Oreochromis niloticus: one gene and its partner. The protein of the gene in region 1 purifies or fractionates together with the protein of each later gene. This does not show direct contact. Links are inferred from orthologs where the notes say so. Each region holds a gene or a part of one and is shown on either strand. Other genes may lie near its edges.

Region 1 (8,009 bases):
ACTTTGAGTGCCTATCACAGAGCGCTGCCGCTCGCATGTCACACAGGCGGATGGTTCCTTTGCTACTGCTGTACACAAATACATTGCATTGATGTGGATGGCACTCAGCAGCTGTGATTACTTCTGTCAATTCCTCCATGTTGGCGGGCTTGATGTCTACAATATCTGTTAGCACACTGTTAAGGAGCTAGCAGTCTTATATTTTACATTGATGCAATGCTATTAAAACTTTAAGACACATCTAAAAATCAGCTTTCTGATATTAAAAAAAGGATACTAAAACTTCTGTCTGTGATTTCCAAGTGCCATAGATTTATTCTTAGGTCATCTGCAGAGAGGTAAGTTTCATGATCACTATTTACAGAAATGGAATTAATGTGATAGGTGTGCGCATTTGCAAAGATCCTCCGTGGGCTTGCTTCTACCATGAGATCCATTGGCATCAGTACTGGTACCTGAAATGTACAACAATCAATTTTAGAAAGGTTATCACATAGAGTTATGCTCAGAATGAGGCTGGTCTGAAGGACGGCTAAACACACCCGTAAAGAGGTGATTCTAAAGGGGTCTCTGAGTCGTCCGTCTTCATCCTTCAGATTGTAACCTTCTGCTCGTTTATCTCTTTCACTAATTTTCCACAATTTGATAGTTTTATCTGGGGAAAAAAAAGGAAAGGCTTTAGGAGAGAGAACATAGTGCTTCATTATCAACAATTAAGAAAAACAGAAAAAAAGCTCTTACCATTTGTTGAAAGTAGAAAGTGAGCAGCATTTTGTTGTGGTAGCCATCTTATTTTATTAATTTTTTCCTCGATTTCTAAACTTTTCAAATAATCAAATTCTGGCTCGTGACTCTGAAAAGTGCTATAGACGTTGTACTCCCCACGCAGGTGTGGACGATTCTTAGACTGAGGGGGAAAAGGCAACAAAAACAACACTGTAATCATGGTATTGTTTAGGGCATTAAAAAAAACAACAACAGCAAAAAAAACAAGATTTCATCATTACTTGTTCATATTTTTGCATAAATATGTAAAAAAAAAAAAAAAGCTCATTACAGAAAATAGCACAATAAACAACAAGCAAAATAAATAAAAATACATTTTCGGCCACTCACTTATTTACAAGTGGGCTGCCCAAGTGGGTAACTCCTTATACCGGTATTTGATTCTGCATAGTAGACATTAGTTGGTCTTCCTGAGACAACCCCAAAAACCCACAGACCAAGTCCATGTATAAACTACTACACTGTGGAGCCACATGTAGATTTTTCACAACAGTTCCATTATGGAGTACTAATGTAAAACACTATGATCATGGCATTGTGCTTTTTGAAATGCCCTAAACAATGTTTAATAGCACATTTTCATCGTAGCTTTACCATATTTTCCATAAATATATGAATAAACTGAGAAGAACTATTATAACACCTTCCCATGATAGTTTAGTACCTTAATATTTAACCTTAAAACCAAAATAAATAAAATATCCAGTTTGAATAACACTCACACTTTGTTCCTAGCCAGTGTTTCTGACAACTGTTTACTTCCTAAAATATACATGCAGGCTTCAGTTCTTACATGCAGTTTTATTACGCATTACATTGTTCTGTGCTGTGTGCTGATGAATGCATCTTATGGTATATGTGAGCACAACAAAACAAATTCCTATAAATTGTATTGTTGAAATGGATACAATAAACTTGGTCTTTTATATGTTGTGTGTCCCAGAGAGCTCATTCTGCTCATCTGGATGTTGCGTTTTGAGTGGGAGGCATTCATCCAAATGACTTCCTCAGTCTCAGCTGAGTGCAGGTTTCCCCAACCCTTATAGACACTACATTTGCATGATGATCTAAACTGGCCACTGACTAACAATGGGCTGTAAGGTCAGTTTTATGATCATTAATAAGCAAATACTGCTCAGAGAATATTTAATATTTATATACAACAACAGCTTAGGGCTTCACTTCTGGCACGGTGTTACTGCTGTGTGATCCTTACCTCTTGTTCATGCTGAAATATCACTACTCTGCCTCCCTTGTCTCCAGTTGCCAGTAGCTCTCCAGAATAGTTGAACTCAACGGTTGAGATTATGTCAGCTGAAAAGACAAATTGGTGTGAATCAGACCTCACAGCTCAGCTTCCGCACTGTAGTTGGGATGGCAGCTAGAATGCTACTGTGATGGGCTGCAGGCTGAGTCTGGTCCCACTGTTCTTATAGAAAATTTAAAATACCGATAACCACATAAAAGCACGTACACCCATTAAGGTATGAATGAAAACAAGCATGATGTCACTCGACAATTTATGGACGCAGCACATTGACGTCACGGGCACGGTCGCTCCCCCTTTAATAGTTTAGCCACCACCTAGCTCATAGCGAGCTAGCGACACACAGTAATCTACAAGGAAAGGGCGTTTGTGCAACTGATCCACAAACAAGTCCACACTAATCACGAGAGCAGTCTTGCAAAAAAGCACGCGCGTCCATCCGCCGTCAGCTCTCGTGCACCTCAAGTGAATCCCACAGAGAACCATCATCAGACCACCTAGCTAGCTGCCCACCACTGTAGCCTAGCCGCCGAGCTAACGTTAGCCACATACCTTCCGCAACATCTTCATCTATCGCTCCTTTTACTTGAGAGAAACACCACTGAAAATCATTTCCTCCTGCAACTCCTGCAAAAAGAAACCAGGGTTAGTGTGATTCCAGCTCGTCCTTCATCGGGCGGTAATAATGACCTGACAGTGACACAGTTTGACAACTAGCAACTTAGCTTGCCAGCGCTAACGCTGGTTAGCCAAGTTGCAGATTCAGGCCATCACACACACCAAGTGAGGTGGATCCTTTTCCCTCCCTTTAAAAAGTAGCTTACCCGCCATTGCTTCATTTAGCAGCTCTTGTTGTACACAGCTTCCAATGCCTTATCAACCAGTGCGGCGCGCTCGGGGAGATAGATAGCATCCACAATCAGTGTGAAGACTCGGGTCCAGATCTGTCAAGACCACGGAAATTATCCGTGATTTTTTTTTCTTCCAAAATGGCGCACAGTACATGGAGAAATGACGTCATGCACACATGCCACATCCTGACTCCATCCATCCTCCTGAGCATCATATCAGTAAATGTGCATTTTCACTGGATTTTATATCCACCCAGCTTTGTTTCAATGAATTGCATGTTTTACATATATGGTTATTGAGGATTTTTAATCCTATTTAGCTGCCCACTAATGAGCAGGACAAATACAATTTACACATCCCCGCCTGGTTATTTTCACTGTGACTGAAATAAACAGCAACACATGCAAAAACAACTAAGAAAATCTACATTTTTTCCAGTCATATATCCACTGAGCAAATATGTTTAATTAAAATTATTTGCATAGCAGCCTATGAATAAGAGTTAAACACATTTTTGTTTGCATGTTGAACGTTTTTTGACATTTTAAAAAATACATTTTTATTTTTTATAATTTACATGCAAAGTGTGATTTTGAGTAAAGCGTCACTTTGAATTATAGTGACAACATGTAGTACCTCAGCCTGTATTGGATGGTCAATCGGTGACATCTAGCGGCAAAACTGAGAAAATTCAGTTTACTCCGCATCCAGTATATAGTTTTCACTCGATTTTAGTCTGTATCCTTTTCTATTTTTATATTTCTTCACGAAGATAAAGGTAAAAAGAGTCTGACAAGTCCAGTGAAAACAAATGCAAGCCAGTGTTATTAGAAAGAAAGCTGCCACTCAAAGAATCCAGAATTTAAATCTATGAGAGAATTTCACAACAATGTAAGTGAGCCTTTTAAATTAGTTTCATTGGCTAAAACTGGTAATTCTGCACATGCAGTTTCAGTTTTCTATGACCAAACAAAAGTAACTTAGATAATGATTCAAAGTATATTAGGTTAATTTGATATTATTTCAAATACTCAGTGTGATTTTTAAAAGCTACAAAATAATTTTTAAGCTATTTTACGCAGAATCAACAAAAAAATATGCTGTGTATTTATTTTTTAAATAGACTGTCTGCAGTGTGATGTAGTGCATACAGAAATGACTGCTATAGATGGTGTATTTTTTTTTAATTAAATACATATGGTGATATATATACACAGTTCAGTGGATAAATGCCAATAAGCAGATATGAAAAAGCATAGTCTAAAGCTTGTTTTTATTCAGCTATCATAGCGTGTGTTTTTGAAGCCAACTCATCACTTGCACTGACTTGAAGTTTGATTATATATATATATTTTCCCCATAGTTTATATTTGGTTTTTGCAGCTGCACATTGTCCAGGAGGTGGCAAGAGAATAAAAACGATGTACCCTTGAAGACCTGGGCCAAATCCCACCAAAACCTTCTCCTCGGTATCTCCCAAGCTACACATCGTCTCATCACTCACACAGAGTCCCACGGGAAGAAGCAGAGCAGAGGCCTGGAGGTTAGGAAGACTCTCTCACTCCCTCACTCTCTTTCTCAGTACACCTATATATCTATATTTAACTATCTATACAGGTACAGATATATCTATTTATTTGTCTATAGAGATATCTATATAGATATAGCATAAAAGTAAATGTTCTTATAAGGTGTTGGGTCAACACCTGCCACCAGAACAACTGCAGTACTCCTTGGCATTGATTCGGAAAGTTTCTGGAACGCTACCAGAGGAGATGCTTTGATAATGTAGTGGTGAGCACTGTCTGACCCTTGCAGTAACTCTTGTCTCCAAAATGACACATCTATCTATCTATCTATCTATCTATCTATCTATCTATCTATCTATCTATCTATCTATCTATCTATCTATCTATCTATCTATCTATCTATCTATCTATCTATCTATCTATCTATCTATCTATCTACATCATGGACTGCGTTGCACTTTTCCTGCTCAGTTTCCACACATGAATACATAATGGGTGTAAATTATGCATTTTCTGAAAGTGCTGTCTGAAATGCAGTTGACTAATGTCAGTTTACCAGAGAAACTCTACAGCACCGGCTTGTGTATTGATCTCATTTGCAGTTAGTAGATGTGAGGGCATTTAGCTTTAAATTAACAAAAGATGGTCCACCAGTGTTTCATAAAACCATCATTATTTTAACAACCGCTTAAACCTTTTAAAACACCCTTGACTTCTACGTGTGGAGCCCTGTGCACCAAATGGGTTCGTTGTGTTTTGTACTTTGATTGCTTAAATGTTTGACTAAGTGGACCGGTGTGTCAGTCATTACTTTGTGAATACAGTACAAACACATCATGATTTGAAAGCAGTAGGTGTGTGGGTGTAGACGCCACACTGATGTCCAAATCAGAATAAAAAAATAGGGCTTTTAAAAAATTAAAGAAATTGCTGAATGGCGATTTTTCGTTAATTTAAAAATGTCTCTTTATAACGTGTTATACATTGAATTAAACAAAACTGCTGTCCCGATAAGACTGCATTATTAAAAGCAAGTGAAGCAGTTTCTGTTCACCATCATTGTGTGAACGTGTAATGCCCGAATGCAGCCTAATTTATGATTTAATAAACCGTACAGCTTAATCGTTGTGTGCTTTCGAAATGTTCACGTTTGTACGAGTCGAGCGTTGTGGCTGTGACTGTGTGTGTGAGTGTGCTGCCGTGCCGTAGCTTCATCAGGTATAAGGAGAGGTGTTGACTTTATTCCGAGCCTCCAGTAACACCACTGACTCTGATAGTTCCCCATCCCTGTGGGAATTCATTATAAGACAGCTAGAGGCTGCTTGTGGATGGTTACTGTGCTGCCCGTATGTTAACTTGTCGCTATCGCGCAAGGCAAACATGTGGTGCAGCTGCTTTCTCTGGCTGTGGGCAACCTGGAGAGATTGATTGGTGAGCCTTCTGTTTTATCCAGGATCAGGGCCACATTCAGTAGACATGGTGCCTCCGGAGAAGCAGCCATTTTCCCCAGAAAATATGGCTCATTACCAGCACAGACAAAATGAAGGTATATTGACTTTTTAACATCTTACAACACACCTATTCCTGGCCCGTTTAACAAAAAGCGTTTGTTATCCTGGAAATCTTTACTTCATCTTATTCCCATGTTACTGAATACAAAACCAGCGCTGATTTCAACATGAGCTAATCATGCCCAGGTTTATTTTGCCAAAAATCACACACATCGCAGCTACTATCCTCACCTATTTCTCTTTGAATTTACACACACAGTCATGAACATAAATACCCATGCACATTCATTTTTGCCCGGCACGCACAAACATACCCTTCCCCCACATTTGGTCAATCAGACAGTTTTTAACACAAACCATTGGCCAGTGGATGTGTCTGCTCTGCTCAGGGGCATAAGCTCTGTCCAGACCCTGAGTCCTAACACACACACACACTCCCTCTCTCTCTCGCTCAAACACACACTCTCTCACACACACACAAACAGCAAAAGACAAACACAATCAATTATTCAAGACTCTTGTTTTGGCTCATGTGTTTTTTCTTATTATTTCTGTTCTGTTGTCTCTATAGTATCCTCTGGCAACCTAACAGCCAGGAGGCCAGATGAGTGAGATATGAGGCCTGATGACTTGAGGTCTGTGTATGTCTTTGTAATTTAGATGGCAGAGTATAATTTGCATGCACAGCCTTCAACATCGTCTCATTGTCTGAAGGAGATTATCCTTGCGGCTTGCCACAGCCGCGGGTTGTCAAAGACCTGGCTTCTAAGACAAACCTTTGTCTCCTTGTTTATTTCCCCTATGAGTGGAAATTTTCAGTGTGGTCATTTAGTGTAGCTGAAACTCACACTGAAGCACACAAGCGATCAGTGAAAACACTACACCATCCTTTATCATAATCACAAGTAGCCCTTAAGCCCTGTACCTTTGCATGTACGCTGCAGTATGTAGTGTATGTTTTACATACAGGGACTGTCATTCTTCAGTGTGCAAATTTGTGCACTAGATGGCACTATGGCACTTATTATTCAGTGCCAACAGATCATTTCCATTTTGGAGGGTGAGTGTGTGTGTGTGTGCGTTGGTGACAAAAGTGATGATCACAAACAGCTTGTTTTCCCAGACACGATGTTAATGCTATCATAAAGAACCCCATACCCACTCTTATTTATTTATTAACTCTTTTGACCTTTAAGCAGAAAACACTTGTTGTTGTGCCTAAATTTTATGTGAAGTATTTTTGAAAAACACAAAACCGGACTAGTGTTGTTGACTAAAGTTTGCGTCTCCTCTAACTTGACACATTCAGTGATTTTTTTTCTTCTTAGGGCTCAATTGAGAGTCAAACAACTCTCCTGAAACAATCAAAACAGAAAAGAAGCACATTGTAGAGATGTATTATATGTGAATCCTTGCTGCGATGATGTCCTTGTAAGAGATCATATTGTAAATAAGATGGGTTAAATTGCACTTGTAGCTTCCTTTCAAACAGTCAGGCTACTCTCGAGGGGAGACAAGAGAGCGCTGCAGACTCTACCTCTAATAACGCTAGACAATGAGATCCCAGCTCATAACATAGGCCTCCACTATATAGAACAAGTAGTGGGGGCTTAGCAGCTAATAAAGTGGCAAGTCTTCAAATCCATGTCAGAAGAGCAGAGTGCCACGGGGACCTTTCATAACACTTGTATGTGCAGGTTCCAGTGCAGTGTAAAGGTTACACATCCACATTGTACTGATCTAACCTGATGAATTGCCTTAAGCCTCACAAATTTCAAGGCTGTGTTTCTTATTTAAAGAAGCAGAACTGAATAATTCTCCCACTCTCTAAAAGATGACAGGTGAAGACAGGAGTGTGGAATGAATATTTGAGATGCAATACAAAATCGACTGTGTGCACTCTTCCCTATTAAAGCGCACGAAGCAGCAACACATTTAAAGCTGTTCAGTTTAATTTGAATTTGCTTTTGTTTTATATCTGATAAGCGTGTTGTCGACAGAGGTAATTTTTCTTTTCAGAATTATAATACACATCGGTTTTGTTAATTGAATCATGCTGCCCTT
Region 2 (7,279 bases), on another chromosome or scaffold:
CAAAACCCACTGATCAAAGAACACTGATCAATGGTAAATGGACTGGTTCTTATATAGCGCTTTTCTACTCTTCTGAGCACTCAAAGCGCTTTACACAACTTGTGCATTCACCCATTCACACCCATTCGCACAAGCACATTTTTCTAGGTGCTTTCTAAGTAACATTCACACACACATTCATACTCCGATGGATGCATCGGAGAGCAATTTGGGGTTAGTATCTTGCCCAAGGATATTTGGCATGCAGACTAGGGGAAGCCAGGAATCGAACCACCAACCTTCCGATCAGTAGATGACCTGCTCTACCACCTGAGCTACAGCCACCCCACCCCAATGGCCATGAGTACCATTCACAGAGAGTTGGGGAATGGCTGCAATCACAGCATTGTAAGATGGCGAAAGATGTACCCTTAGGCCCCCTCCTCGGTTTGAGCGCGGAGTCAAGGAGGCCATTTACGTGAAAAGGGAAAGACCATCTCTGAATCGAGGAGGGGGCCTAAGGGTACATCTGTCACCATCTTACAATGCTGTGATTGCAGCCATTCCCCAACTCTCTGTGAATGGTACTCATGGCCATTGATCAGTGTTCTTTGATCAGTGGGTTTTGGTCAGTGATTGTTGATCAATGGTCATGGAATTTGCATAATTATGATTAAGAAACTGACCTCACAGCCCATTGTTCCCTCAGTGGGCTGGTTTCAGTCATTATGCAAATGTACTGTTTATAAGGTTTGGGGAAACCTGCAGTCAGCTGAGACTGAAGAAGTCACTTGGATGAGTGACGAAACGTTTCTCCCACAAAACGCTACGTCCAGATGAACAGATTCAACTTTTGGAGACTCATGTCAAACAGTTTTTTTTGGGGGGGGTTTTGTACATGAAAGTGAGTTCACTGTACTCAAACGGCTTCCACAGTGACCAAATCCAATAGGGCACCTTTGAGAGGTGGTTGTGGTGACACGCAGCCGATAAATGAACAGCAACTATGTGATACTGTCCCGTCAATATGCACCAAAATCTCAGAGGAAATTTTCCAGCACCATTTTGAATTAGTGCCACGAAGAATTAAAACAGTTTTTATAGCAAAAGGGGGCTAACCTGGGGCTAGCAAGGTGTACCTTGCTAAAGTTGGCGTTTGGTACGTAACTTATATCCTCTAATAAGTCAAATTAACTCTTATTATCCGTCTTATCCAAAAAGTAGCCCCACCTTCTGTTTTTTGTGTCAAGTCTAATAATTGTTCCAATGAGGTTACAGATCAGTAGCTAGATGTTGGAGCCTCGAGGATTTAAAGTCTGTGTAGGTTCTGGTAACAGGCACATAGATAAGCTAATAACCATTGCTGCAAATGAAAACATCCAGAGGCAGAGGTAATAAGCATCATTAGCGATGATAATTACTGGTAATTACACCAATCAGATTTAAAGAGTCTTATAAAAAACACTAATGAAAAGCCTCCAAAGGTGGCTGCTACTGATTTGGGAAGATATAAACAAAGTGCAGTTTAACTTCTTATTAAACCTGCAGTTTAGAAGCTTAAAAAACAACCATCAATGAGCAAAATACACAATTCTAAAAGACTGTTCATGCAGTTTACTTATCAAAGTGATCTCTATTGAGATGGAAAATCACATGGGATCATATTTGAACTTGACTTTATTGTCTTTTTCTGGCCTTAGTATGGATTTGTAATCAGATCTCTGATTTCTTTAGTACACAGGGAAAGTATAAAACTCAGTGTTCTTTGAATCTGTCTGTCATTGCATTAAAATTTCCAGTGAATGAGAATATTTCCACAGGTTATCAATACAATATATTACCAAAGACATTTCTTTTAAGTGTCTGTCCACATAAACAAGACAGAAAAAGGTGAAAATAAGAAAAAATGACACACCGAGTTAAGTTAGACCAAACTATAAAGGGTTAAAAGCGGTTCTATCAGCTACTGAAACCAGCTGACTTTTTGTTACCTCGCCAGAATGATTTCTTCAGCATTTTAAGAAAATACGAGCATAAGCAAAAGCAAGTCCTTTTCACCACCAAAAGGAAAAAGCTTAGACGCATTTTGTTTGTTTGACTTGGTGAAAACAGAGCATACAGTGACTCAACAAGTATATACCTTTTTTGCCATGTATTAAGTGTAAAACTATGGTTTCTGTTATATTATCTAAAAACAGTTAACACCATTTGAACTTTATTCAAAGGCTTTATTCAAATTTGACTCATAATGGACCAGTGACATTCAAAATAAAGCAGAGTAACTGTTCGGGGTTGAGCAAAATGGTTTTATTATTGCGGTCTCAACACACATAACATGTATAAACCATGCTTACAGCTCACTGGGTAAGATCCACGCACTATTACCCAAAATGTGGTGTGTTAGTTCTGATCACAACTACCAGAGGCTCAGTCTGCATGTGTGGCAGTGTTTTTAAACCCAGTCGTGTTACTGACCTGCTGCCAACAAACCCAATTAGTGTAAAGAGATGTTCCACCAGGTGCCTTTAATGGCTGTTTCACAGCTTTTTTCGGTGCCATCAAATTAAAAAAGAACAATTATTTCATGTAAAAAAAAATAAAATAAATACGGTACTGTGCAACAGTATTGAGCCACCCCTCATTTCACTTCCAAGAAGCCAGACATTCTTGTTATTTTTATAAACTGGTCTTGAGCAATAGTTCTTCTGACTTTCTGAAGCAAATTTTTCTTTCATTTTCAGTCCGTTCCTTGTATCTGACTATTTTCAGAAGAATGTTTTATTGCCTTTTAAGGTGCTTAACACCGGACTTATTAATTGACAAGAAAATTGACAATTCAGACATATAAAGCCATCTAACTCATGGGCTCAACCACTGTTTTCTATACACTTAACCAATTTTACATTGTAGCTTTAAGTGTAAAATGCCATAGTATCGTACAGTATCACAGGCATAAAAAAAAGCATTTTTAGCTAAAAAGATGGCATATCAAAGAAGTGACAAGTGGAGGATGAAAACAAAAAAGAAGTGGCAGATTGAAAGAAATAGGAACAAAAATCAGCAAAGACATGACAAAGCACCTGAGAAACATATCTGGCCCTTTAGTTGATCCATCTACGGTTTGCCAAAGCCTCATCAGAAACGGTCTCAATGGAAGGGTGACAATCATGAAGCCATTCTTAAGGAAGGAAACAGGAAGAAAGGGCTAACGTATGACAATTTACGGAATAACTGAAATGAAAATGAGTGGCAAAGCACTGTGGAACACTATCAGTCCTGGATTGGCCTCCCCAGAGCCTGGACCTCAACATTGCTGAAGCAGTGTGGGATCATCTTTACAGAAAACACAACAAAAAAACAGCCAACAGCCAAAGAAGAGCTGTGAATATCCTTTAAGAAGCCTGGAGAACTATTCCTGATTCTTCCTATTCCTAATTAATGAAATCACAAGAAAGCTTGCCTAAGAGAGTTTAGGCTGTGCTGAAGAATAAAGGTGGTCATACCAAATACTGACTTCTAAGTTGATTAGGATTGTGCACATTCAGTTTTTGTTGTACGAGCTATATTTGTATTTGCACAATTTTAAATAAATCACGTCACCTATATCCCATTTCTCTAAGAAAATATAAAGAAATTAGGAGTGGTTAAAGACTATTTTTTAATATTATATAAATAGAATAATAGGTTTCTTGTTACAATTTTCTATTAAGCATTTCCTATTTTTATTATTTATTAATAAACTGGGTTGCGTTTTGATATTTGTGTCAGTGTAGAACTGTAGTATTACTGGAGGGTGAATCCACAGTGTAAGTGCTCAAAATTCATACAGTGAGTAAAAAGGTTATTGGATTATTAATAAAGTACAAACATAGAAAAATGATGTTTTGCTAAACAACATTGGATTCTCTTGTAGGGACTTCGTACAAATTTATTTTTGTTTGAATGAGTATTATGTCATTTTACCTCTTAAAGTAATCAGTCGTGCACAATAAAAGCCAAAAGGTTTGTCGCCAGCCAGCCTTTTATATGTTTCAGTAAACTGGTAGTTGCAACAGTCAGATAAAGACAGTGAAATCAGAAGTAAAATCATTCGCTATAAACAAAAGGCATAACACCGAAATGTCACGATAACCTCATACATACTAGGGACTAGGCACGTAGCGGAGTAAATTCGTGTTTCTTAGTCACTTTCCATTCAGTGGGTATAATTCCCCTCGCCACAGATTGTTTTTCTTGTTAAAAAGGCCAGCGGTAAACGCAGCGTCAATACACAAAGAGTAACCAGAACAACATCAGATCTTCTACATCTTGTTCTTGAAGCCAGCAGCGGGCTTTGGCTTGTTTGTTAAAGCATTAGTAGGAGAGAAAAGCAGGGAGAAATCATTAGAGAGGAATCCCAGGCATATGGCTGGCTTTTGTCGGCTCCCCTCCCCCTCCCTTCCTTCCCCTCCTGTCGTCCGCTCCGCAGCAGCAGCAGGACAGAGGTAGTTCAGTTTTTGAAGCCGTGGCATGAATGATCTCATCTGAACCTGATCTCCGCTTTCTCTGCTGTCGATCCTATGACCGAGACGGGAATTAAATTAACACAAACACGAGGTGAGTACGGCTACTCAAGCACCCGACGATAGTGTTTTTAACTAGCCACCCGGGTGACCGTGTGTTGTTTTTGGGGAACTTAACAGCTCCGCCGTGGCGAAAACTCTTGTTTTTGGCTAGAAAGGAGGAAGGACCGCGGACTGTGGGTGGGTGGGCGCTTTTAGCTAATTAGCTTTACGTTCGCTAGCATTCGTTTTATGTAAGAGGAAGTTTCCAAACGAATGCCGAGGGTTTTGTGCCTCCGTGGAGGCATCTTTTTTCACGGAACATTTTATGCTAGCTAGCGGCAACCCAGAAGTGTAAATTCCGTCTGTAGCATAGCCGGCCGGCTAACTGTTAGCTACTAGCGCAAAATGGCCTCATTGTCGCTCGGTAGCTCTGATGCTGAAAAGACAAAAGCATGCGGCAGTCACGGCCAGAAGCTCTCCGTCGCTTTTTACAGCTATTCTAGCGGTTTTAATCTGGCGACTGGCAGTGGTAGCGCTATGTATTTAAGAGGGAAGTGGGAGAAATGTAAGCAGTGCTTTTTAAAAATGTGTTTATTCATTTAGTACGGCGGGCTGTGAAAGTGGTGGGGGATGGGCCATGCTAAGAACCATTGACGTAAAACGGGGCTGCATTTTGTTTGGCTTCTGCTTCCTAGCATAGTAGAAAACACTCAGTTTAGTAACTGTATTTAAACTGTTTTAAATCCAGTTTAGTGACACTGTCTGTCTGACGTAAATACAACTGTAATGTCAGCATCAGAATAAAGTACTGATTTACACGAGGTGATCCTCCTCCCCCTCCCCGCACTTATTTCCTGATATGTTAGAAGTTTTTGAACACCACATATGTCAGCATTTTTGTGAAATCATGTTAAAAAGATGTGCGACTAAGTTTAATGGTCTGAAATACATCAATACTAATGTGCAGGTGTAAATGAATACTATTTAACTGAGTATGATCTCGACATCAGTCATTAAAATTAAGCGTCTGTAGCAGATCACTTTGGGTTTTAAAATCAATACATTCTTATTGGTAAAGTAAGTAAATCTTTAAAAAAAATGTTCACTTGCAGATTGAGATGTTATTATCAGGAGTTTGGTTGTTATTTAGTGCTCATATTAGGTTATCTGTCAATATTATCTTGATTGAAAGTGTTTTAAGTGGTTAAAATGTAAGAACATTTAGGGAATTGATTGTATGAGATTGTAGTTGTTTACATGTCCCACAGTGGAAAAACACAACACAACGCACTGTGTATGTTGCCTGCTACAGATGACTGATCAGACTGGTTAGGACATAACTCGCTTTCAGTCTTATTTTATATATGACCTACATATGAATTGCTGTTTTTCTTATTGTTTTCAGAAATCTAATTCTAAATTCAGAGTAGAATCCTTAAGCTTTAAAAATGCTAAACTATAGGGTGTTCGAAAACAATTATCAGTATAAATGTTAAAAAAAAAAAAAAGTTGTCATGTCCAAAACTGTTTTCTCTTCTGTGTGCAGTGATCCGTCTCTCAGGTTGTAGTTCTTCCTGTTTCTATTTAATGTCTTTTTTTTCTTTTTTTTCATTTTTCTACTTTTTTTTCTTTAAGGAGGTAGTTCTCTCTAGTGTCTCTTATTTAACAGGGACCAGTATTATTGCACCACATAAGAAGACAACATATGTCCATAATCGTTTTCTCACCCTTTTCATTTTAGATCTCCGGGTATCTTCATAAATTACCTTTTCCCCCCTTTATTCTGTCCACTGTCAGGAAATGTTATTCTATGATTACGAGGACTCAAAGACCTCCAGGCTCCCAAGCCTTTAATTGTACTTACGAGCCACTTCTCTTTTTTTTTTTCCTTTTGGCATGGATTGTAACTTTTGAAAAATGTGGGGATCTGATTGATCAACTATTTAGATGTATACTTTTCTATTAAATGTGAACTCACAAGGTGTTGACTTGTTTTACTAGTTTTTGTCAGTATGCTATTGCACAACACCCGTGACTACACACTGTGTCAATGTTAAAATATGTAATTTGCACAGATTATGGGCCTTAGTTTGGCCTGGCATCCTAAAATAAAAATGAAAATTTGGTGTGGAGATGATTTATGACAGTAACAGCAGTGTCTTGGGCATGGTAGTTTCTTTTTGATTCCTAGTTCCTGAAAAACAGGAAATTTCTGTAAAGTGATCCAACCCTCTCTGTGATTTGTGCCCTGTGAATCCTAACGCAAAACATGAATCAGTGTTGTTTTTCATTGTACTGATTTTAAAAAATTTTGTGTTTTCTTTTTTCCCCTTTTTAAAATGTCTATCACAAATAGAAATTTGAAGCAACTGGAATCATTGACCCAAATGCCCTGCCCACAGGTTTAACACAGAGGAGACAGCCGGACACTGTGCATACTGTTTTTCTGTCTGATGGAAAATTAAATGCCACAGGCTGCTGTTTGGAGCTCAGTCTCCTATTCACTTGCATCCCATTTATTTTTGGGAGTCAGAGGGGCCTTTAACATTAGCGGGAGTATTGTTTTGTTTCTGTAAGACATGTGTGTGTTGAAGTGGTATTTAATGAGGAAGTTGACTGTGCTTTTCTTCCCCTCCTCAGTGAAGAGAAAGTGAAAATCTTGTTCTGCTAGTTTTTGAAGCGTCGCGTGCGTAGACCTGGAAACCTGATATCCCTTGTAAATATTAGTGGCTCATGGTGGTACATTGTACTGTGAA

What was found. Proteins that work in one complex are often made in the same cells at the same time.
Region 2: the proteins of serine/threonine-protein phosphatase 2A 55 kDa regulatory subunit B delta isoform (region 1) and cdca4 purify together in Homo sapiens (affinity purification with mass spectrometry; 3 studies listed by BioGRID and IntAct, counting the BioPlex papers as one, with this or other methods). This does not show direct contact. The link is inferred for Oreochromis niloticus from reciprocal best matches to the Homo sapiens genes PPP2R2D and CDCA4.

Annotation. Positions count from the first base shown.
Region 1 is NC_031978.2:14,378,278-14,386,286, reverse strand, and holds the start of serine/threonine-protein phosphatase 2A 55 kDa regulatory subunit B delta isoform, read right to left. Parts: upstream 3,083-8,009; 5' UTR 2,885-3,082; coding exon 2,878-2,884; intron 2,681-2,877; coding exon 2,606-2,680; intron 2,101-2,605; coding exon 2,003-2,100; intron 908-2,002; coding exon 742-907; intron 656-741; coding exon 543-655; intron 456-542; coding exon 278-455; intron 166-277; coding exon 1-165. UniProt on the Homo sapiens protein: Substrate-recognition subunit of protein phosphatase 2A (PP2A) that plays a key role in cell cycle by controlling mitosis entry and exit. Involved in chromosome clustering during late mitosis by mediating dephosphorylation of MKI67.
Region 2 is NC_031983.2:6,918,698-6,925,976, reverse strand, and holds the start of cdca4 (cell division cycle-associated protein 4), read left to right. Parts: upstream 1-4,232; 5' UTR 4,233-4,575; intron 4,576-7,279. UniProt on the Homo sapiens protein: May participate in the regulation of cell proliferation through the E2F/RB pathway. May be involved in molecular regulation of hematopoietic stem cells and progenitor cell lineage commitment and differentiation.